Linked DNA regions of Kluyveromyces lactis. The protein of the gene in region 1 binds, or shares a complex with, the protein of each later gene. Links are inferred from orthologs where the notes say so. Each region holds a gene or a part of one and is shown on either strand. Other genes may lie near its edges. The genes, in order: RPC53 and RPB10.

Region 1 (13,027 bases):
AAGGGTAAAGAATGCGAAGGAGAATGATTTGTTTAGTGGTCATGACGATGATTTAGTAGTAGCACGGGCTCAAAAACTACGAGAACAGACTCTTGTTTCTTCTGTGAGTACTGAGAGTATACGGTCGCAACAATTGTCTAGCAATAGTAACGAAACAGTACAACACCATTTGATTGAGGTTGAAGCAGATGATGAGGATGATGCGGAGACTGATAGTGAGGCACTAGCTTTTAAAGAAGATGAAGAAGCAGAAACAGGCGGAGATATAAGTGAGGAAATGGAAGACGTAGATGAAAGTTTTACGCCGTTAGTGCCGGTGGTAACGGAACATTCAGAGAGGTTATATCAATATGTGTATGAGAGGTTACACCGTGAGGAGCCTGACCCTAACGATGAGGACACATGGGACCCTGTTATGGTATCGGAATATACCATTGAAATTTTTGAACATTTGAAGTTTTTGGAGAGGAAATTTTCGCCGAATCCCAGGTATATCGAACATCAACCGGAACTAACGTGGAAATACAGATCAACGTTGATCGATTGGATTGTTCAAGTCCACGATAGGTTCCAGTTGTTACCTGAGACGTTATTTTTAACGGTAAACATTATCGATAGGTTTTTATCAAAGAAACAAGTCACTTTGAACAGGTTGCAATTAGTCGGTGCAGCAGCTCTATTCATTGCTTCCAAATACGAGGAGATCAACTGTCCAACTTTGAAAGATATGCTGTATATGCTGGACAATGCATACACTAGAGAAGAGATTCTAAGGGCAGAAAGATTCATGATCAATACGTTAAATTTCGAATTTGGATGGCCAGGTCCAATGTCATTTTTAAGAAGAGTTAGTAAAGCGGATGATTATGAATACGATACAAGAACCGTGGCTAAATATTTATTGGAAACTTCCATAATGGAGCCAGAAATAATAGCAGCGCCACCATCTTGGCTTGCTGCAGGTGCATATTACTTGAGTAAAATCATTATCGGACTCACAGGTTGGTCTGACGAACACATATATTATTCCGGTTACACAGAAGAGCAATTAATACCGTTGGCAACAATGATTTTGGATTCATGCAGACATGCAACAGAACGTCACAAAGCAATATTCGATAAGTACTCGAGGAGTCGCCATAGGAAATCTGCTTTTGTAGTAGCGAAGTGGATTTCAATGGCCGAGAGTCGGTTGGAACAGAAATAAATTCGACAAAAAGAGAGCGGCTAATCATTACTCATACGCCTTCCCGACACATCTAGATAGTACTTAACTCAAAGAAAGCAAAGAAAAAGTGTCAATTCACTTCTTTATCTAATGTTATATTTCGTTTAAATTTCATTTCCAGCACAAATTTACTTTAAAAGTGAAAAGAATGAGATTATTCAGTTTTACTTTCAAAACTAAACTGCACTGTTTATTGACAGAGCGAAGAAAACGAAGGGAAGAAACGGTACAGGCAATTATTCAAGACCAATCACCATCAACAATGCCAGTCACGGCTAAACGTCCGTTATTTATTGATCGGTCGGTCGATTCTGAACTAATTCCAGGTATTGGGAATATACAGGATAGCAATGCTACCGAAATACCCGCCGAAGGTGAAAACAGAAATGTATTGGAAAAATATGCAGATGAAACCATGCATGAGCAAAGCATTAATTGGGAAAATGAAGTAGTATTCTGCTTGGAACTACAGCAGTCCAAGCTTGGAATATCTCTATTGGACATAAATCAAGAGACTTTATCGGTTCTAAATCAGGACATTATTGTTAATGCCAGAAGTTCAGAAAATATGAATGAAGTGAACTTGATTCTAGAAAATTTGATACTTGAAAATGAACCTAGCGTAGTGTTGTGTTCAAGCAGGTTAGGGGAAGTGATTTATGAAAACCTCAAATTTTTGTCAATCGAGCGCAGTTTTAGATTGCAGATGCAGTCCCATGACAAATTTAAAGTAGAATATTTTGTTCAACATTGGAACAACTTTCAAGAGTCCCAACAATTGATAGATATTCAAGGATTTCAGATCTTGGACCAATTGGGTACAAACAAAGCCGCTAAAGTGACAACCATGTCATTGAGCTGCTTGATAAAATCTATGGATCATTTCTCCGCCGTTGATTTTGACGAATGTGAGATGTTTAATTTTTTCGAAAAGGTCAATATAGTGAGACAATTAATGTTGAAGGATCGGCTCTTTCTTGATGATGATACTCTGGCGGCTTTACATATTTTTAAACCCATCCAGATACCAGGACATTTTTGTGAAATAACAAAAACCGGCTATTCATCTGTGTTTGATTTGCTCAATCACACTACTTCAGAACTTGGTAAAAGATTGCTAAAATCCTGGTTAGCCAGTCCACTATCTAATAAAATATTAATAGAAGAGAGACAAAAGGTGATACGATCTCTAATTGACGGCAAGAATGCGATATTATTCGACGATCTTTCAAATTCTCTAAAGTACATGCCTAATATATTCAGCATTGTAAATGAAATGAGCAAAGGCGCAGTAAAACTCTCAGTGTGGAGAAAATATATTTCTTTCTGTACCAAAACTGTCGAGATCATAAACTTAATCCATATTCTCTACGATTCTTCAGATAATTGCCGGTTATTTAACACCATAAAAAATGACCTTGATAAAAGCATGATGTTGAAGATATTAAAGAAAACCGAAAGTGTTCTTGATTTGGAGGGGTCCCTTAACCAAGATGCGATTGTTATAAAGGATAAAGTTCGTATAGAACTAGATGAGGCAAGAGGAACTTACTTCGAGCTTGAAGGTGTTTTAAATCTTGTGGCAAATGAGGCAAACAATACACTAATATCAACATTGCAGAGTAATGAGGAGAAGCTTTTTAAAAAATTGAACGGACGAAATGCTTTGATAAATGCGATATATCTACCACAACTTGGTTATTTACTATGTGTTGATGCATCCATAGAAGATATGTTCGATCCAGCTGTGCTATACTGGACTGAAATTTTCAGAGAACAGAATGTAATATATTACAAGAATGATGATACGAAAGTTATGGACGAACACTATGGTGACCTTCATGGAATAATATCCGATTTAGAGTTGGAGATCCTACTTGAACTACAAAATGCAGTCTTGAATACAAAGCCAGCAATTTTGCTGTCAGGAAAATGTTTCGCAGAGCTCGAGGTTTTAGTCTCATTTGCTAAGACCGCCATTAGCCAAAATTATGTCCAGCCTGTCATTGAGGAAAAGGAATGTGTAATTGAAATTGAAAACGGCCGGCACCCCTTATATGAAACACTTGTAGACACATACATCCCCAATGACCTTCGCATGCTTGGCGGAACTTTTGATAATGATACTTGGAATAATAATTTCAAAAGAATTTCTGTCATTACTGGCGCTAATGCGTCTGGTAAATCTGTTTTTTTAACGCAGAACGGACTTATAGTGTTTCTTGCTCATATTGGTTGTTTCGTTCCTGCTGATAATGCACGTATTGGTCTCGTGGACAAAATATTGACCAGAGTAGTGACTCGGGAATCTGTAGCAAAGACGCAGAGTACATTTGAGATTGATGCAAATCAAATGTCCAAGTGTTTGTCATTGGCAACGCCGAGAAGCTTACTTTTGATTGATGAGTTTGGTAAAGGGACAGATGTGATTGACGGCCTATCTATGTTCGGAGCAATTATAAAGGACTTTTCAAGGAGCTCGTCTTGCCCTAGAGTGATCGCATCTACTCATTATAACGAAGTTTTCAGTCCAAACATCCTTACTAGTGAAATTAATGGTGTAGTATTCTATAAAACCGAGATTTTATTGCAGGTGATGGAAAAGGAAAATAAAGGAAATGCCAGAGATGAAATGATTACCTTTTTGTACAAATTGAGCACCGGAATTGCCACGAACTCTTTTGGTATATTCTGTGCCAAAAACTGTGGCTTAAGGCAGAGCATTGTCCAAAGAGCACAAGAACTTACAACTCAGATAGCAGATGGATTTGACATTGCTAAGAACTACAGCAAACTAACTATCGAAGAATTGAACCAATTTAGAATTGACCAGGATATTGCGAAAGAGTTTGTAGCATGGGATCTTGATCTTGAGTCCATCCATTCTGACAAGATACAGCATGCAATACGGAGAAAACTACAAAGAATATTGGATGCTGGACAAAGCTGCTAATTCGTGAGTACTCAGAAAGCAAAATATTACACGAATGAATAATGCGAGTTTTTTTTTAATGCATGGAGTATATAGATACACTAAATATCATCTAGTACTAATTTTTAAATTTCACAGACTTCGTTAGATTCTTCTTAATACCAGTCTTTTCACCTTCATACGCACCAGATTGACCACCAGAGTAGACAGCACGCACAGATTTGAGCTTCTTTTGAGCTTTTTCGTACTTCTTTCTCTTTTTGACACGCGAATTTCTGTTGTCCTTCTTCCTTCTTGGTGTTAGACCCTTATTCTTTAGAATTTGATAGTTGATTGCACGTTTACCATCTTCTGTAATGTGTTCGGCCAATTCAGCCAATTTTCCTTCCTTAGCAGCTTTCGCCACCTCTTTGTGTGCTTGAAGACGGGAATCTTTCTTGTGTTGTCTATCAGCCCTGATGCTCTTGTAATATTCATTCTCGGCATCACGTTTAATGTCTTTGGCAGTCTTTTCATCATCCGAGTTGATATCATCCGTATTAAGATCTGCCGCATTTTTATCATGCAAGCCACGTTTTCTAGCTTCTTCAAGTAGCCTCTGTTGTCTTTCGTAAAGTCTTTCTTTGTAGGGAATATCGTCATCACCTTTGAATCTATCAGTCTTCTTACTAGCCTTTTGATCGATTTTGGAAGTGTAGAAACGTAACGTCTTCTTCCTTGTTTTCTTTTCTTGGACATCAACATCTGCAATCTCATCTTCAACAAAGTCATCAACGTCTTGTAATATCCTGTCTTTCTGAACTTTGTTTGCAGCTCTGTTCGAAAGTTCGATATCAAAGTTTTCTTCTTCTTCGCTTTCCATATCACCCTCCTCGTCCTCATTCTCATCTTCTGCCTCATCGTCACTGGCACTTGCTTCACTGTCCAGTTCATCCTGTTCTTGTAATAGTTCTTCATCAAGTTCACCAATATCCGAAATATTTTCTTCAGCGTCAGAGTCTTGCTCAAAGCGTATTGCTTCTGTGTCCGGTAGTTCGCTAGCTTGTCTCCAAATTTCTTTACACTCCAAAATACGCTCCATTACCGGATGATCTTTCATAGAAATGAAATCTTCGTTATTCTGTAATTCATATAAGAAAACTGCAAAATATGAACTAATTGTTCCAAGATATGAAGATAATGCCATAATTTTGATCTGAATCAATTCATTATTCTCCTCAGTTTGTTTGAGTTTCAGCTCGTCTAAAACGGGTGATAATTTACTGAATTCCTTTGATAAAGGAAGGTATTCTGGGAAGGATGTCTTCAAGAAACCTTCCTTTCTCTCTAAGTCCATGTTGAGAACATCCCTAAGGGAGATTTCAGTAGGACGTTCTTGATCCTTTTGATCTTTAAATTGACCTAAATCGAATTCCTTAGCTTCTTTTACCCATTCTTCATCAACTTCATCCTCAAGATAGTCTTCCATATGAAGGTCTTCCAAATGTTTCTTCTGTTGGCGCAAAGCTTCCTTTTCTATCTCTCTTGCAGTCTCTTCATCGTCCAAGTCATCGGCACCGTAGTATTCTGCCTTAGAAGCACCCCATGCGTTCTCATTGTCCAGCATAGTACCACTCTCTTCTTCTGCATTCTCACCAACGTCTAATTTCCTACCAAAAACCTTCTTATACACAGCTTCACCTGTTAATTCTTCTTGTTCACTTTCATCATCTTCAACTTCTTCACTTTCATCCTCACTATCTTCATCTGACATTCCCATCACTTCTTCTTCTTCATCCACTGAAAGATCAAAATCATCTTCTGGTTCCCTTTGATCAAGACCTGCGTCCTCAAGTAGCACTTTTTCTCTCTTGTTTGCAAAGTCATCGACCTCATTCATGCCATAGGCAACATCTTCTTCCTGGTCTTGTCTACGATTAGACCCTCTTTTTGAGACCTTTGCACCTCTCTTTGCCATATTTGAAGTACAATGTCCAGTACAATTTAAGTCCAACTCAATATACAGTCGATTACAGCGGCTGATAGTAGTTACCTGTTATGCAGCTTGTCATTCTCTTAGTTATACCTATTCTCTGAATTGAGATGAGATGAGATGAGCTTTAACTTTAAACAAAATTTTCCAACATTGCTTTTTCAAGATTTTTCACCAAAATTGAAAGCTGCACTACTACTGGAAGAGATCACAATGAGATGAGCAAAGTTGATGCGCAAATAGTCAATGCAAGGGTTAGTATCCAGTAACTAGTCTTCGTTTTCATATTAGGATTTGCTGTTGAACGAAGAAACGGTCGAGAATCGCAGTATTAAACGCTTGAGTCAAGAAGTTATTTGCATCAAATTGTGATAGGAATCAACTAAAGATGAGTGGACGTTTACCTGGATTGAACCAGGGGAAACCATCAACCGGAACCTCGCTGAAGTTTAAGCCCAAAGTGGTAGCTCGTAAATCTAAGGAGGAACGAGATGCTAACGTTCTGAAGGTAGAAGAGCCGAATAAACAGGTTGAGAAGAAGAAATATACACAGAAACCACAGGGCAACCAGAAGAGGCAGCCGAAGTATTTAAACAACACAAGAATTATCACATCAGGCCCATTGGCAGCTGGTAATTTCTCTGGAGGATCTAATAAAGGGAATAATGGATTCATTAAGACGGAGGGTTCTCAAAGCAGTCTTGTGCAACGCGGTTTGAAAGCTGTTTCTGATGATGAAGCAGAGGGATCGGACGCAGAAGATTCAAAAGCTGGGAAGAGAATTAACATGGGGAAAGAGTATACAGAGGCAGACTTCAAGAAGGAAACTGACGATCTGTTTGATGAAGATGAGGATTCTAATACTGATGCAGCCATGAGTGAAGAGACCAGAGCCTCTAAACAATTGGCCAATCTTTTCCCTGTCAGGGCAGTTCGTATCAATCACGAAAAGGTGGATTCTCTACAGAAAGTTGTCCAGGAATCCATGTCAACTTTGCAGACCAGGGAACCAACACCAGGACCTGTGAAGCTAGAACCAGAACAATCGGATGGTACTTTAAATGACATAGTGAACGAGAAGGAACAGCAGTTAAAAGAAAAACTGCGTTTGCTTCAACTTCAACAAGATTTCCAATCTGTTGACAGCGCAGAAGCTCTCAGGGAAACAAATTTGTTATTTGAGGATCATAAACATATGTACAAAAAGTTAAACAAGATTAACGACGTTCCAAATAAGTTTATGTTCTTCCAGTTCCCATCAAATCTACCTGAATTTCAGCCACAACCCCCAGTGAAATCCACCGAAGAAGATGTAAAGCCAAATGGTGAAGCAAAAGTAGATGAAGGAAGTGAACAATCAAATAGTAAAAACAGCAAAGAAACACAAATAGATTCACCTGAGCCTTTGATCGGAAACGTTGGTTCAATTAGAATGCATCGATCCGGCAAAATGTCAATCAAGATCGGGGACGTCGTAATGGATATCAGCAGGGGCGCAGAGTCTACATTTTTGCAAGACGTGGTTACACTAGATTTGGAGGGAGAAGAAGCGGAGCTACTAGGCCAAATCGACGGAAGAGCGATTGTAACACCACATATCTAATTATATAGATTTCTGCATGTACATGATAGTTGAAGAAAAAGCTCAGCAAATCAATTCGTATGATAACATTAATTTAATGTAGACAACTACATCAAGAATGGGAGATTCAAATACCACTGCGAACACAATCAGCAGCTACTGCATAGTAACCTAATAAAGATGCATCGCCTTTTCAGGTTATAATTCCTGAAATCAGAATAGTCATTAAGTACGAGTTGATGTTTGGATATGCAGGGCTCCATTACAAAACTTGTTCATGTATACAAGGATTCCCTTAAAAATGACTTCAACAAACACAAAACAAGGTATAATCGAAAGGACACTACAACCATAACCTTACCTCTCACGGTATTTAGTCAGTTGATTGAATCAACTTGAAAAGTTTGGATCAATAAAATTTTGGAAGTCTGAGTTATGACGGATAGTCAGGATAAAGTAAATGGTGGATCCAAGAACACATTTCTATCAAGAGTGTTTGGTGTGCACTCATCTGCTGTAGAAAACTCTTTGGATGCCGCTGAGATGAGCCATATTACTATGCCTACGGAACAGGATTTTAGTAACTATGCCGAGGATGAAGGTAATGTGAGGCTAATAGAATCCGATCAGGAACCATCTTCATCTAACGAGGACAGCAATGATGAGGAGCCGCTAATACAACAGCCACAATCCATAAGATTTGATACAGCATCTGATGGGATGGCAACAATACAATCGGAATCAGAGCCCGATGAGGGAGGTACAGAAGAAGATGAAGTGCACTTAGAAGAAGAGGATTTCAGCGATCAAGACTTGGCAAGCTCTGTTTCGAAATACGGACAGCCTTCAAGCAGCGAAGACGAGGAGCCATTATCAAATCGTGACAGTAATAGAGGATCTGACGAAACGATACCTTTCATAGGTAGACAACGACTGAATCTAGGTGGTAAAAACCCCATTACAGGAGCAACTAAGTCAACCAAGAACCCTTCGGAAAGCAGGGTATTCGAAAGATTGTTAGGGAATAGCCCTGCAAAGATGTTTCGCAATAACGGAAGGCCGAATAATCTTGAGGAGAGTTTTCTCTTCCGAAAGCCATCAGTCGCAGAACAATCAGGACCAGGTAAATCAACTCATTTCAATTTGAAACCTCCTCCAATATTTAACAATATTTCTACTTTGACAAGCACTTCAAAGAACAGCTTATCTTCACTTAGTCCAAAGGAACGAGCTTTATGGAAATGGGCAAATATCGAAAATTTAGACACTTTTTTGCAGCAGGTGTACGAATATTACCTAGGGAACGGATTCTACTGTATCATCACAGAGAAGGTTATTCATCTAGCTACAATCTTGTTTGTGGTATTCATTTCAACTTACATGGGCCATTGCATAGATTATTCAAGGTTGTCATCGTCTCATACTTTTGAAGAAATTCATATTGAACAATGTTATAAGACACAGATCTCTCCAACTGCAAAGGTATTTCTATGGATATTTTACGCCTTCATAGGGCTTAAAGTTCTACAATTGTATTTTGATGTGAAAGCATTGAAGGACATCCGAAACTTTTACAACTACCTTTTAAGCATATCAGATAAAGATTTACAAACTATTCCATGGCAAAGTGTGATTCAACAACTAGTATTACTTAAGGATCAGAATGCGATCACAGCAAATGCTACCGAAGTCAAAGCAAAAAACAGGTTGAGTGCGCATGACGTGGCTAATCGAATTATGCGCAAAGAGAATTTTGTCATTGCACTATATGATAACAATATTCTTGACTTATCCCTACCAGTACCTCTACTAAGAACATGTGCTCTTACCAAGACGCTCGAATGGAACATAAATCTTTGTATTTTAGGTTTTGCATTCAATGAGAAGGGCTATTTAAAGCAAGCTTTCTTAAGAGAAAGCCAGAGAGAATACCTGGGAGAGGAGTTAAAGAAGAGGTTTGTTCTTGCTGGATTCTTGAACATTATCTTATCCCCATTCTTAGTAACATACTTTGTTCTATTGAACTTCTTCAGATATTTTAATGAGTACAAAACCTCCCCAGGATCAATAGGTTCTCGGCAATATACTCCTATTGCTGAATGGAAATTTAGGGAATACAATGAATTATATCATATTTTCCAAAAAAGAATGAGATTGAGCATGATAATAGCGGACAATTATGTCAATCAATTTCCCAATACATTATTAAGCTTGACCTTAAGCTTTATACAGTTTGTTTCCGGTTCTTTTGTGGCAATCTTGGGTATTCTGACAATATTTGATCCAGACAATTTCTTAAACTTCGAAATTACACCTGACAGAACTGTTTTATTTTACATGACTGTTTTTGGTACTTTATGGGCAGTTTGTCACAGTTCTATCAACGATGAGTATACGGTTCTCAAACCAGAGGAAACACTGGAGGAACTTGTGTCGTATACACACTACGCTCCAAAGGAATGGAAGGGGAAATATCATACAGAGGACATCAAAAATGAGTTTTGTAGGCTTTACAACTTGAGAATCACATTATTACTAAGGGAACTAGTCAGCATTATAATCACTCCCTTCATATTATGGTTCTCCCTGCCAAAGAATTCAGAAAGAATAATAGATTTTTTTAGAGAATGTACCGTCTATGAGGAGGGGTTGGGATACGTGTGTAAGTACGCAATGTTTGAAGCTACTAAAATTGACAAAGGTACCAAGGCCAAAAAACAAACTAAGAGAATGTTTTCCCAAGCAGAACAGGATGATAGTGAAACCGAATCGGATGAGGGTGTTAACAAAATGCTTCAGTCATATATGTACTTCGTTGACGATTACAAGAATGCAGGCAATGCAGTGGGCAAAAATCAGCTACCAGCTTCTCCAATCGAGCCATCTTATCACCCATACAGCTCTACTAAAGACTATTCCTGGAAGACACAATTTGCCTTAGGTAAAAACTCCAATCGTAAGAGAAATCTTAATCGATCAAGGGTGAAGAGATTCCCGGATCGTAGTTCGGACCTTGAATTAGGCTCATTGAGTGGTTCACTTATCAACAAATCTACCCTTTTTAAGGATGATATTGCTGATAATGCTGACGAACTGAAGGCGGGAAATGGTGTTATGGGCCTATTAAACCAATATTACAAAAAATCAGATCGCAATCGATGATAAAGTTTATTAATGTTGAGTATAGATTATATAATATGCAGTTAACGTTTGGTATTACGGAGCTTCTTTTCACGCTCATATTTGTTTTTCTCAGCACCTTCTTCAGTACTGATTTGATTGACAATACGTGCCATCTTGGAATGGTAATCGGCGTACTCCTTCTTCTTTTCTTCAATGCCTTGTCTTGCCTCGAATCTAGTGTCTTTACGTATTTCTTTCATAGTGAACTTACGTTCCTTCTTCAATTGCGCCTTCATCTTGTTCAACTCACTTCTGGTCTTATCTGGATCATACGACTTCTTATCTGGGTTGAAGTTCTCTTCGAATTTAGGCGTATTTGATGGAATCGCCAGTGGTTTATGCTGTTGCAACGTCAATGGCAGACGTTCTTGGAATTTCAATAGCTTTTCGATCTTTTCCACTAATTGTTTTGGTTTAGAAGTACCAGGATATACTTCGGCAGCCACGTTTAGTATGTCTTTGAAGGGATTAATGATTTCTGGGAAGGCAGTAAGATCTTTCCAGATGTTCGTTATGCACCAATCAATTGATTCTAGATTGTTGACCAGCACGGACAGTTTGATAGATTCTTGCTTTTCTAGATCCTCGGAAAATAATGAGTGTAATTCTAAAGAAGGGGCGACCTTGGACCAGTTAATATCCGAGCCTACTATTGATAAATTGTCCTCCTGTTTTTCTTTGTTTTCTAATGTTTCCCCTTTGGTACTCGGTATTAGAGAACGCAAAGATGTCTGCAAGAAGTATGTTAACTCAGGAATATAACGCTTGCTTATACGTTGATACTGGATGGCGATTCTAACCAGTATCGAACCAAATATTAATTTTTGAAGAGAATTGAACCTAATTTGTTCCAAAAACTCTGCAATTAGAAGCAGACAGGGAGTAATGACTAAATGATAGTGATCCGAAGTGGAGAACAACATACCAACAACAGAGAAAAATACCAAATCTGATGGAGATAGTCCATAGAACTGGGATTCTTTGAATCTAGTCTGAATATCTGAGATGATATTTCTACAATCCTCTGATAGTGGAATGGTAAACTTTTCTGAAAGAGTCTTTAGAATGCTTACTAGTTCGTTTTGTAATGATGCAATTTCTTTCACATTAACCGAGTAATCTTCTTCAGCCAAGAAAAGTATATGTCTGAGCAAAACAGCAGTGAATTTGCCCAATTTTTCTTTGTTTCCCTCAGCCAATTTTGGTTGGTATGTTTTTACTATTCTTTTAACTAAAGATGGATGCTCTTCGATAGGATAAGATTTCAAGAAATTTAGTAAGTCATCGTGAATTTGAGGACATGGAACAGAAGGTATAACTCTTGCTGAAGGTCTACCATTTGATGTAGCGTCGTATTCATTGTCATCATTGTTATCCTTCTCGAAATCAACGTCGTCATCCGAGTCAGGAATTGCTTTGATATATTCACCATATTCGCCCTCCTCAGAGTCGCTATCTTCCCAAAACTCTTCTCCCAAATCTTCAACACCAGCATCTTTTTGATCTTCAATGTTGAAAATACCGTTCATACGATCAAGCCTTTTCTGCTCCAATTCCTTTTGTTTGTCCTCATATTCTTTCTTAATCTCTTCATCTGTTTTAGTTCTATCTGCAGGGGCAGCTCTTTTCTCCAAGACTAACTCTTTCACCTTGATATCATAATCTGGAGCGATGTCTGTGGAGGTCGAAATCTCAGTTTGAGAAGGTTTAGTCTTTGGTAACGTCCTTAATTCAGACATAATGCTTTCGAAATCGTCATCAAGGCCTTCGATATCTTGGACCAATTTCTCCTGCGCCTTTTGTCTTTCATGTTTGTAAAATTTGGATTTAGCAATGACCTCTTGCATGACTTCTGCCTTAGTCTTCTTTCTTGCTGGCTCTTGCAAAGCGTCATCACCTAACCCTTCATCTCCGTATTGATCCGCCATATTTCTTTTACCAGCTTGTTTCAACCTGAAGTCCTCCGAATCAGAATGCTGTAACCCCAAATCACCTTCATCGAAATCATCTTCCAAGGAAAGAGACTTACCATAATGAGTCAACTTTTCACCGTACACGTTTTCATCCTCACCACCATCGCTATCGTCTAAATTGAATAACGATCTTTTCGTCGAAGATTGACGTTGTCTT
Region 2 (12,172 bases), on another chromosome or scaffold:
ATGAATAGCAGCATCCACTTCAGATTTATCACTTCTAACTTTGATGGTTACAGCACCCTTTTTGGTGATAAAATTAATAACTTTCTTCAATATTGAAAACCCTCTGATTGCAATCGTTTCCCAGAATCCTGTTTGGGACTCTGTGTTTTCATTATAAACATCAGATGCTCTTTCGATTATCAAAGTAGTGAATGTTATGAGAATAGTCTTTGATGATGGCATCATTACAAAGTTTGCCGTAGATGCAGAAATAAGATTGAAATACAATTTGCAGTAACATTTGATAAACTTTTCATACATATCAACTGTCTTAAAATTGTCATAATTCTTCAATAATAATTGGAAATGCTGTTCAGACAGGGAAATGAATTCGACCACAGACTTGTCTTTTTGTGGGGATTCATATCCATCAACTGCAACTCTTCTTAAGACCTTTAGGGCCAGATACGATATTTGCAACTTAGATATATCATCACTCTCTAGAGAGGCAGAATTTGTCCACTTGTTGAAGTAATGCATATAGATCCTGGTTAAAAGTGGAAAAAGTAATGGTATTTTTGATTGCATAGCAGGTCGACATCTCCCAATTCTGGCAACACCTAGTGTCTTTATTATTTGGTTTAAGTGAATCAAAATGTTGTAGACTTTAACATCATCCTTCCATACAGATTCGTCATTTAGAAGTAACTCTACCTGTTCAAATAGATGCGGCCATTCGACAGGGAAATCGATTCGCGCTACTCTAGCAGTAGCCTGTGCATTTTGTATGGCTAATTTATCATTTGGTTCATCTATCATACCGAATAATCTATTACGGATTTGCTGTTTCTCATCCTTAGTAATAGCATTTATTCTTGTTGATCTCCAATACTTGTCTAATCCGTTTTTGAACTGAATAATGGCCAACCATCTTACTTGCAAGGATACTGACAGATCCATATAAATCGATTGTAACAAGTAATGGAAACCTGGCAATATCTCCCAAGATTTAATCTGTTGTTCTGCCTGCCTTTGCACTTCAGACCCAGCATACTGTGGATTCGATGCTTGTTCTAAAACTTGAACAAGGGCAAGTTCTGTTAACTGTGTGGACATATTTGAAATCGTTGTTGAGGGTGCTTATTATCTTAGTGCATATACCTTTTCTAGTGGAAGATACTTGCCGAAATATTTCAAGTGACTTACCTTGTTCCCACCAATAGTGTTACTGAACCCTGAAGTAGGTTTAGAAATTTCAATTTTCAATTGAATAACAAAGGAAAACTCAAGCCAATAATCGAGGTTTTAGTTATGTTCTTGATATGCACGAAACTACGTTCGCTGGCACAAATAGACGCGTCCTACTGGGTATCAATTATACCTGATATGTTACAATGGTTTGATTTTGTTAGTTCATTAGTGCTTTCCCTGTCTAAAATGTTGAAAACCAAAGTGCCAGAGAATTTGGGCAAATAATGACTAAAATCATCACTAACGATATGAAACGAATGAACCAACAACGACACAAATGAAAGGAAGCAGTTACGAAGTACAAGAAGTTTCGACAGGTGTATCAAAGTAATAAAAAAGATTAAATTGTATTACAAATGGATCGTATAGATACCTACAAAAAGCGTTTGTGTTCAATTGAAACACGGTATAGTTAACAAAACCTGGCGTCATATTACAATGAAAAGAATTTCATAAAATCCGGTTTGGTTCAATTAAGCAGCCCATCTATGAGCTTCATTATCACCTGCATACTTTCTCTCAACATAGCCCAATTCTTCCTTCACTCTACGAACTGTCTCTGGGTCACCCATATTTTTACCTAAATTATCGGAAATCTTGATGGCATGGTTCCCATTAACCTCCAGTAGTTTTATGACAATATTCAGCGGTTCACTTTTCACTGAGACATCAGATTTTCTTTGGAAATCGTTGGTGAAATTCGTACCGATACCGAAAGTTGCCTTTAGACCATGTTTATGAGCCACTTGGGCATATTCTATTGCTCGATCTGGGTTAAGAGAGTCTGAATAGCAGATTATCTTTGAGAACTTTGGGAGCTTCAATACGTCATTGTAATGATGAGCGATTTTCTCAGTGTACAAAATTGGGTCTCCAGAGTCCTGTCTCACCCCAATGTATGCATCTGAATAAGGTGGGTAGAACGATTTCAAGAACGAATCGGTACCAAAAGTATCTGTTAGTGCAAGACCCGCATTTTCCATACCAAACGTCTCAATCCAGTAATCCATTGCGTTCTTATTTGCATTCAGATAGTCATTTGTAATGGATGCAATACCCATCATCCACTCATGCGCTACTGTACCGATAGGGTTTACGTTATATTTCTTAGCGAATAACACGTTCGAGGTACCCAATACGTATTTAGACTTATCACAATCCTTAGCGGCATTTATGATACCTTGCATGACAAGATCTTGAGTCTTGAAAGATCTACGACGTCTAGTACCAAACTCACTGAATACGATATCGTGATCCAAAAGCTTTTTGGCCTTGGCATAAGCTTTCTCGACCTGACCATCGTAAGTCCAATCCGTATCCACGAATTTGAAGTACGCTTCTGACACCAACGCAAGCACTGGGATCTCGTACCATATAGTCTTGATCCATAATCCCTCAATGGAGATATCCAACTCGTAATGACCAGGTTCACCCTCAATTTCCCTGGCCTCAAATTTAATTTCATCCTTTGGATTTACTTCGAACCCACCGTTAGATATAAATTCCAAATATTCCGCTGGCAGGTACGGAATAGCCTCCTTGATGTATTTCAGTTCCTCAGTAGTAAGTCTTATATTAGCCAATAATAGGAATTGACCCTTCAACCATTCCACAGCTTCCTTATTGAACGTCATCTGAGGCGATCGGTTGGTATACTTGTACTTGACTTTGACATCCTTAAAATGTGTATAGACAGCGGCATGCATCGTCAATTTGTACATGTCCGTGTCGAGGAATGAAGTTATAACCGGTTCCATTGTGTCTTGGTTTGCTTGTGCTATTATTTTGGATAGATGCCAGACTTTAACATTCTTAAAACCTTTTTACCGCTTCAAAGCATATTATACCTTAATATCTCTTATTTTCTTATTCTGAAAAAATGTCAAGCCATCTTCATATTTATATCAGAAAAAAAAAACAAGTCGTGAAAAAGTGACTTCGGGTGGGAAAAGGAAGACGAAGCTGCTGTTGGAAAAAATGGGAGAAAATATTACCGTTTTGTACGTGCGTTTCTATGTGATTCTGATAAAAATGGATAAAGTGTGATTTAGCATGCACACCGCTCTCTATAAAATGGTGACCAGCAAAAGGATGACATGAGAATTTGCTCAACAAAGTGGATTGGTCTGTGACTCTACTGGGAAGCAACATACAAGTGGATTTGTGAGTCACTGGACTAGTGGTCATGGTATTGGTAGTTTGAAAACAGATATAATATTAATTTTAAAGCGTTGTATAAGACGTATTCTACCGGGAGAAGTGGAGCGATGTCAGTACATCCATGGACTTGGGAATGCGATGGTGGAACTATGTTTCATAACATCTGCCTTAATTTGCTTTGGAGGTGATTTCCTTCTTTTTGATCTCTGTCGCATTAGTTTTTTGTTTTATTTTACAGTTATTAGATTATTTTATTTTCCATATTTAATCTGTCATCGAGTATTTTTTCTGTCAGTGACAGAATAAATAATTAAATGGAGGGTTGTTTAAATATTCTCTGTATTATATACACATACGTATGTTCGAGTCAATGTATAAAACATCTATGTGATAATCTTCATGACGCGGTCAAACAAGGTATTCATTTGAACGTTGTCGATGTTTTCAAACAAACTTGTAAAACTGTTCATGTTAATGGTCTTGTTTTGTGACAAGTTCCCGTTAATGAATTCTAGATCTATGTCTTCATCTACACCATCCTCAGCATCTGTGTTTGCCAAACCTTTCTTTCTCGTAAGCTCTTGTAGTTTTTCGCTGAATGAATCGGGATGTAGAGATTCAAATGCTTGATCATTATTCGATTCGTCCACCATTTCCGAGCTGGTTGTGGTGCTCACGATTCCAAGACGAGACTGGATATCCATGAAAATAAAATCTGCCGCGTAATTCCATACCAACGACGATATGTATTCGTTGTGTTCGAAGCTGCCCAACTTTTCTGTTAGATCGGAATTGAAAATTAAAATGTTGGCTTTATGTTGTAAGGTTGGATTGCCATCAGTTCCTGCTGCTTGTTGGTTAATGGCAAGTGCGATTCTTCCAGTGTTCGCATCGCATGCAAGTAGTCTGGCAAAATGGCCCGGTTTGTAAACTCCGTTCACATAAGGGTAGATATCGAAACTGCTGATGGTGGATTGTGTCAATAAATTGAACGAATGCAAGGAAGTCTTCGTGGAGATTATCAATGTCGAATCGTTGACAAGTGTAAGAGCTTGAATTGGAGTATCCAAAGTGCGTTCGATTGGTAACTCATTTTCATCTTCCAGTAGTTTGAATTCGCTGAATTCAATGGTAGATAGCTTATCTTCAAAAGCGTGGAAGATTAAGGAGCCATCTAAGGACCATGCTAGTTGCACCGAATTCGAAAAATGGTTGTAGTTGGGTAGTAATAATCTGTTCAAACACCAGTTATTCTGTTTCGAATCAAACTTCCAGTATTTTAATCCACCATTGTTATCAGCAGTCAAACAACCCTGGGAAGAATTTATGCTATTTGGAGCTGTAGTTATGTTTGTCACTGGGACGTTGTTACCATGTGGGTTCAACACTTTAGTTTTCAACTCCCATTCTTTGTTGTCATCTAATTTCCAGAATTTTAGAACGTGTGACAACTCCTTAGAAGACAATAAACCCTCAGGTGGGTACTCAACTTCATATGTGATCATCCAAAAACCATCTAGGGTGAATTTCACATCCTGTACAACAGGGTCCTGGATAGTTAACTCAAGTCTAACCTTACCTGCTGCATTGTTGACACTGGATGTAACATACTGGTAGCTCACCTGTTCATTTTTGTATAGATCGTAAGACTGCAAAGATGAAACGTGTGGTAAGTAGAGATGTTTTGTAGATGGATGTACAGACAAAGGTGCGGTGAAATCATGCTTTTTCCTCTTTAGTAATTTTCTCTTTTGCTTTTTCTTCGATTGTAGCATATTGGATGACGACACAGAACTTTTCGAGTTAACTGTAGAAATTGGCTGTTCAACATCGTTTGTAATGGTATCAAATACCGGGAATGGGCCGTTGATGGCAAGTATTGATGATAGATCTGTGGCATTGAGCAATGTAATCTGGTAGTCAGAATTTGTATTATTTTCAGCGAATTGTAACACTAATGAATAGTACTTATCACTTACTGGTAAGCATTCCAGGACGACACCGTTCAATCTTGGCAAAAAGTGTTGCATATTAGTAGCCAACTGCCAAAAACTTAAAACTTTCTCCCAACCACCAGACAGTAAATATGCGTTGTCATTTGTAAATCCTAAGGATAGGACTGAGTCGATATGCCATTTCAATAATCTATGAGACAGATCAGGTAGATTGATCAAATTTATAACACCAGATGCAAATCCAATAGCCAACTGCTGGCCGTCGTTATCTAACGCAAGAGCAGTGACAAAATGGGAATTTATGGTGGTACTAGATGTTGTAGATGGTACTGGGAAGTTCTGAACTGAACTGTTGTCGACCATAGATTTGATCAGCACATGTTTTTTAGTTTCCTGGTTCAAATAAACTAGGGCAAGGTAGTTATTGTTATTAGACCAAGTTGAAAGTAAAACATTCTCAAAAGTTTCAAGGTGTTTAACCTCAGATTCTTCCTCTTTCTCTTCAACGTTTTCATATAGATCATATCTGTAAGAGTTCCCTGTTTTCTGAACTGTAAGTAATTTCTTCCCATCGCCAAGAACTGCAAATAACTCGCCAGTAATATTCAAAGACCAAGTTTTAATCTCCGTGGCTAATTTACCCTTATACTTCAATATAACTACTTTCGCAGTGTTGGTATACACTCTGATCTTATCCATCTCATCGTCAATAATAGGCTCGATATGCACCACCTCTACAGAAGGCTCATCGAGTATCGAAGTCAAAATATCATTATTAGCAAATTTCAATGTCTTAATACATTGTCTAGTATCAATTGAATACACTTTGAACTGATTGTTGAAAGGGACAATGTATGCTGACCCGTCCTGAGTAAGACAACTCACCGATTTTCTAGTCGCGGATCTATTGTGAATCCTAGGAAGAGCGACCTTCCCACCAGAAACAACAGAAAGCTTGTACATTGGTAACGAAGAGTTTGGCATATTTAACGTGGATTCGATAACAGCTGATACTCTTGTTGGTGCCTCTGGCTGATCCTACTCTTGGTATTTTCTTTCTCTGCTTCTCAAAAGACAAGCTCATCATATAACTCATAAGCTCATCGCATCTTTTCAATTATTTGTCTAATGTGGATTCTTTTTTTTCACCGTATGTAGAATTGTAGTTTTGGAAAATTTTATGGTTGAAACCTGTGCAGGACGAGGATTTGAAAAGAAACGATGGTCATCTCTATCGTGAGAAGTGACATATAAGGGCATCTAATGAAAAATTTGGAACCGATGAAAAATTAAAGTATTAAGAATTAAGAAAGCTGGTTGAATATGATGATTTGTGATGCAAATTATATGAGTTTTCAAAAGGTCGAGCAGGTTTTGATCCACTTATTGTGATAGTTTATAAATCTCGGAGGGTTTATTCCAGGTTTCCAGGTTTCTAGGTTTTTTTTCGTTTCGATATACTTTTAAAGAGAGATGATTGTTCCAGTTAGATGTTTTTCCTGTGGGAAAGTTGTCGGTGACAAATGGGAAGCCTATTTGAATATGTTGCAAGAAGAAGAACTAGAAGAAGGTACTGCTTTGACTAGATTGGGGTTGAAGAGATACTGTTGCAGAAGAATGATTCTAACACATGTCGATTTGATTGAAAAGTTCTTGAGATACAATCCTTTGGAAAAAAGAGATTAGGTGGTCTGCTTTTACTATCAATTGCGATACCCCCTTCTACACTAAAATGGTCCATTCTCTTTAATTACGTCTTCACTTTTCTGCCACTGGTTACTACCGCGTTGTTTTCTTGCGTTCTTTGTTTGCATTTTATTACGTTCGACGTATGGACTCCAGAATAGACAAAACCACTGAGTTTCAATTACCATCTGTTTGCTGTAACTTCTGTTCAGCTGCTGAAACGACAAATAAAGAAAGCACAAGAAGCACGCATGCACGCATGCACACAATTCTATTTCATGTACTATTGCATTGTATACTATTCACATCACCTAAATAAAGCATATTCATCTGATTTTATAAATTTGGTATGTTGGGATTTTAAAAAGTTCATTAATTATTTAAAGACGGGAAGCCTTACATAAGATGTTGGCATATTTCCATGTAGAAACATATTAAGATTAAGTTTTGTTTATATACAGTGATCTCGTAAATAGTAGTCATTATAAAGTGTTCCAGAAGCGGTTGTATAGGATACAGTGATCATTATAGGTTTCTTTTCGACAGTCCCTTATAGGATTTTCTGAACATAAGAATAGAATCTATTTTCTCCAAAGCGAGTTCCAATAATTCTTTACGTTTTTGTAATTCAATATGTCTAGCAATTCTGACGTCCTCTTTAGCGAACATCTCGACTTGTTCATCAGATAATAAACTTAGTTTCTTATCCAATTCAATTGGGAAATTGTAAAAGAAGTCACTTAACAACTCAACATTTAGAAATAATACTGCGGTTGATGTTAGTTTATCGCTTACTGCGTTCAAAAATACCTCTGGGCATTTATCTTTCTGAGTCACGGAGAAACATTTGTTCTTCAAGAACTTGAGTCTGAAATTTAATAATGAAGATCTATCTTGTAGGAACATCGCTTCATGGCCCCTTTCAAGCAGTAGGGCAGAGAATCCAAGAGTCTCCTTTCTATTTGGATCCTGTTTCAAGAATTGAATAACTTGATTTAGCTTTCTGTTTCCAACAGCGTTTTTAATCATATTGAATCTATCGTTACATTGGCGTAATTCTTCTTTAATAAGTAGAACCGAGTGTTCTTGAGCCAAGGACCAATCTCTATCTTCCAAATCAATCTCGTATTTGAATGGTTTGATACAGTTTTCAACTTGGTCCGCCGTGGAGTAATATTTGGAATTTAAAACGTTGACAGCAGTGTTTGTAACAAGCTCCTTTATCAAATCATGGTTTCTCAACTGTGACTGATTCAAAATGTTGTTTAATTCTTGAATAATGGCATTCGTAACAAGACTAGTGGACAATCTACCTACACCAATTTTGGTCAAACTAGATTGTGCAAGTTCTAACTTTCTATGCCAATACAATGCAGAGGATTCATCTTCAAGGTCTTGAGATGTTGAAAGCTCTGGTAAGTTCAAATCTTTCCAATATCTGGCAGCAAGTAAGTCCAAAACTTTTTGATCCAAATCGGCTTTGAGAATTGATTTCAGATCGTTTCTACCAAACTTTTCTTGGAATTCTTTGATTGCAACTTTAAGAACGTCGATGTTGTTCAATAAATATGACTTTGGAGTTAGTTGACGATCGTTGAACTCCACCTTGAAAAGATATGCCGCGTCATCTAATTCCTGTTGAATCAAACGGGAAGTAGGTTCAAGAGCATTGCTCATAGAAACCTCTAAGATTTTGATCAATTTCTCTCTTAATTTTTTCGTACTCACTTGGCACGCAGTGAAATCCTTCTTGTGTTCTTTGAAAAATTCGTTCTCAAACTGCTTTGTTTGAGTTATAGCTGTAGTCTCTGTTGGGTCTGTTTTCTTTTTTGAAAACAAATGACTTCCAGAAGATCTGTTGTCGAATAATCTCTGCACTGGAGTCGTACTTGGACTCTTTGTGATGACACCGACATATCCCATTTTTAGAGGGTACTTTCTGTTATTAAGGATAGCTCGAGCAGTCTTAGCATCCACAAGATCCAATTTAGTGACAACACCTATGGTTCTTAGACCTTGAGGATCAGCTACTTTAGATGCACGAAGAGCAGCACTATTTGCAAGATCAACGTCTGCGGCTGAGATAGCCAAAATGATGTTTGGTTCTTCGAGATATTTGTCACATAGCTGACGAATCTTAGATTTAAGTTCTATGGGCTGATCAACAGCTTCCACTTGAATGTAACCAGGTAAATCAACTAAGGACAAATCTGGAACTCTCGAAGATTTGATTGTGAGCTGGATAGGGTCATCTGAGACAGCTTCAGTGCTAGGCACAGCCATGTTCATTTCCGTTAAAATTCTTTTAACTTCTTTGAAATCCTTCAAATTATATATTCTCATAGTGGGGAAATCTGCAGTAACTTCTTGAGATGTTGGAGTGTTCACTAGGGTCAATTCAATTGGTCTTCTAGTAACCATATTAGTACCCTTTGGTAAAAAGTCTTTGCCGACAATGGATTCCAAGACAGATGATTTACCACTTGACTGAGACCCTATGACAACAATAGATGGTAAAGCTAGATTGGCTGAAGTAGAATCCACTTTATTCAAGATTGATCTGATTTCGATCATTTGCTTTGTTAAATTTAACATTTCATCCTGCGTGTTGTCCTCAGCCTCTTCCAAGTCATCATCTTCCTCATCTTCATCGTTTCCATTCTTTTTACGACGTTTTCCATCTGCCGATTCCTCTTCATCGTGCTGATTCTTCAATGTCTTCCCTTCATCATCATTTTCATCATCTGATAATGAAGCCAGGAGAGTAGCTGCTGCAACGGCATCCGACCCGTTATTGTCACCACTGTTTCCTCCATCGTCCGACTGTCCATCTCTCTGAAACCAATCACCCAATTTATCCTTGACATCTCCCGTGAAATCTTTGAATTTGGATAGTTGATCCTGTGTAAATTGTCCGGCTTCGTTCACTTTATAAGCAACGTATGAACCAAACGCAGCGGCACCACCCCCAACGTAAGCCGGAATACGAACCATCTTGCCTATCATACTGGGGAAAAACGATGCGAACCTCTTGTTAGTCAAGGCAAAAGGACCCTTCATATCATTAGTAACATTTGACATTATCGATGGTCTAACCATAAATCGCAACGCACCTGTCCTGGCTGGACCCATCCATAGCTGTCTGAACAGCACCCTGCGGCACTGGTTAGCAAACATATATTTGGATCTTTGTTGAACTCTTGATTGATGTATACAGTGTGTAGTAATACTTCAGAGACGGACAATAAAACGTCAGGGCATCTTCTGGTTTCTTCCCTGTTATATATGCTATTATTTCAATATGTAATAATAAAACCATCTCATCACAGAGAAAAGAGAAGTAGAACATTCTCATTTCCGGGTAACCACCGCTGGATGTTTTTTCTATTTCTAAATCACATGATTAGAATATATGTCTATTTTTCATGTATCATTGAGAGGCAGTCGTTTGTCCGGGTAATATGGTAAAAGATTCCAGTTCAGACCAGGTGCGAAACTTTCAGCATCTCTTAATAAGCCCATAAAAGGGAGCTTTCTTATTGAATGATAAAGCTAACCCCTAAACAGCGAAGACTACACCGTTGTTCAACCTATAGTACACATGCATTAACTAACCATACACAGCACAACACAATTGTAGCACTAAATTATTGCGAAAGCGTCAGAAATAACGTTACAGAAAAAAAGGAAAAAGGAATGCTATCGTTTCCCTCCCCCAGATACTTCTTTTCTCTTTAGACTCTGTGCAGTGCATAGTAGACCCAAAAATTCGCGTCTTATTTTTTGATCGGTAGTTTTTTACACATCCCACAGATAGACAATAAAAAAGAGTCGAAAAATCAAAACAAAACAAAACACGAACTGAATGGAAATATAAAAAAAACAAACAAAAAAGCCTTAGAGATACATTCCATGTTATTTACAACAACAACAGTTAAGAAGTTTTAAAGAGAAAGAGAGAGCTATATATCATCGTTTGAACCCTATTGTTTGAGCTATTCTGTTTATTTGTTACCAAAGTTTGATTGAGTGAAATTTAGAAGTTTTTCTGGCCGCAAATTGAGACGTTATCTGCAATTATAAACAAAAGTTAAGAGAGCAAAAAAATATTATTGTGATTTAATATTGAAAGAAAGATTTTAGCATCCAGTCATATTATAAGTAACTGTCCTATTCCTCTACCATTATACAATACTATCAGAAATGGCTGCCAAAGTTGTTAAGACTACTAAGAAATCGACCGCTGTGTCCCCAAAATCCAAGGCCGCTTCAAAATCAGGAGCTTTGCCAAAGTATAAGGGTATGTGACTTTATTTTTTTTCCTTCGTTTTTCCGTCACTGTGCTTTGCTCTGAGACTGGGAGCCTAGCTTTAGTTAGATTGTTGATTGTTGATACTATGAACTACCAGTGTAGCAGACCATGCTTTGTCACCCCTTCAAAATTGTAATGTTTGTTTTTCTTCATTGATTTTTTTTCTGGCTGCACACATTATTGTTGTTCATTTGAAATTACAATCTATCATTGGTTAAGCTTCCATTATGAAATGTTAATTCACTTTACTAACTTATGCATCACATTCTCTCGTCGCATGCGTGTGAGTTCCTTTTTCTTTTGTGCAGAATTGATTACTGAAGCTATTGTTGCTCTAGCTGAACGTGGTGGTTCTTCTAGGCAAGCTTTGAAGTCTTTCATCAAGGAAAAATACCCAGTTGGTGAAAACTTCGACACCCAATTCAACCTGGCTGTCCAAGAGAGGGTTGGAGACTGAGTTCTTCTCTCAACCAAAGGGACCTGCTGGTTCTATCAAATTGGTGAAAAAACCAAAGGCTGAGTCCAAGAAGGCAGCTCCTTCTGCTGTTAAGAAATCTTCTACTACCAAGAAGCCAGCTGCCACCACCAAGAAGAGCTCTACTAGTTCAAAAAAGGCTTCTGCTGGTAAGGTCGTCAAGAAGGAGTCTTCAAAGAAGACCACTGCTAAGAAAGCAGCTACCAAGAAGGCTCCTGCTAAGAAGACTGCCGTTAAGAAGTCCAAGAAATAAAGTTAATCAAATTTCGAATCACTTTATTTTTTTACCTCCTGTGAATATCGATTCACCTAACTTCTTAATGCGTGTGTTGTATTTTACTACCTTCCTTTGAT

What was found.
Region 2: RPC53 (region 1) and RPB10 share a complex: the UniProt entries of both Saccharomyces cerevisiae proteins name them as parts of the RNA polymerase III (Pol III) complex. The link is inferred for Kluyveromyces lactis from reciprocal best matches to the Saccharomyces cerevisiae genes RPC53 and RPB10.

The regions. Positions count from the first base shown.
Region 1 is NC_006039.1:1,428,155-1,441,181, reverse strand, and holds RPC53 (DNA-directed RNA polymerase III subunit C53), read left to right. Parts: upstream 1-6,520; coding exon 6,521-7,735; downstream 7,736-13,027. Other genes in the region: KLLA0_C16445g (cyclin family protein), read left to right, coding at 1-1,207; MutS family protein MSH5, read left to right, coding at 1,377-4,181; rRNA-processing protein SAS10, read right to left, coding at 4,279-6,117; autophagy protein ATG9, read left to right, coding at 8,150-10,876; snoRNA-binding rRNA-processing protein NOP14, read right to left, coding at 10,918-13,027. UniProt on the Saccharomyces cerevisiae protein: DNA-dependent RNA polymerase catalyzes the transcription of DNA into RNA using the four ribonucleoside triphosphates as substrates. Specific peripheric component of RNA polymerase III which synthesizes small RNAs, such as 5S rRNA and tRNAs.
Region 2 is NC_006040.1:570,516-582,687, forward strand, and holds RPB10 (DNA-directed RNA polymerase core subunit RPB10), read left to right. Parts: upstream 1-6,818; coding exon 6,819-7,031; downstream 7,032-12,172. Other genes in the region: karyopherin KAP120, read right to left, coding at 1-1,095; NPT1 (nicotinate phosphoribosyltransferase), read right to left, coding at 1,704-2,987; NAN1 (Nan1p), read right to left, coding at 3,774-6,329; dynamin-related GTPase MGM1, read right to left, coding at 7,557-10,208. UniProt on the Saccharomyces cerevisiae protein: DNA-dependent RNA polymerases catalyze the transcription of DNA into RNA using the four ribonucleoside triphosphates as substrates.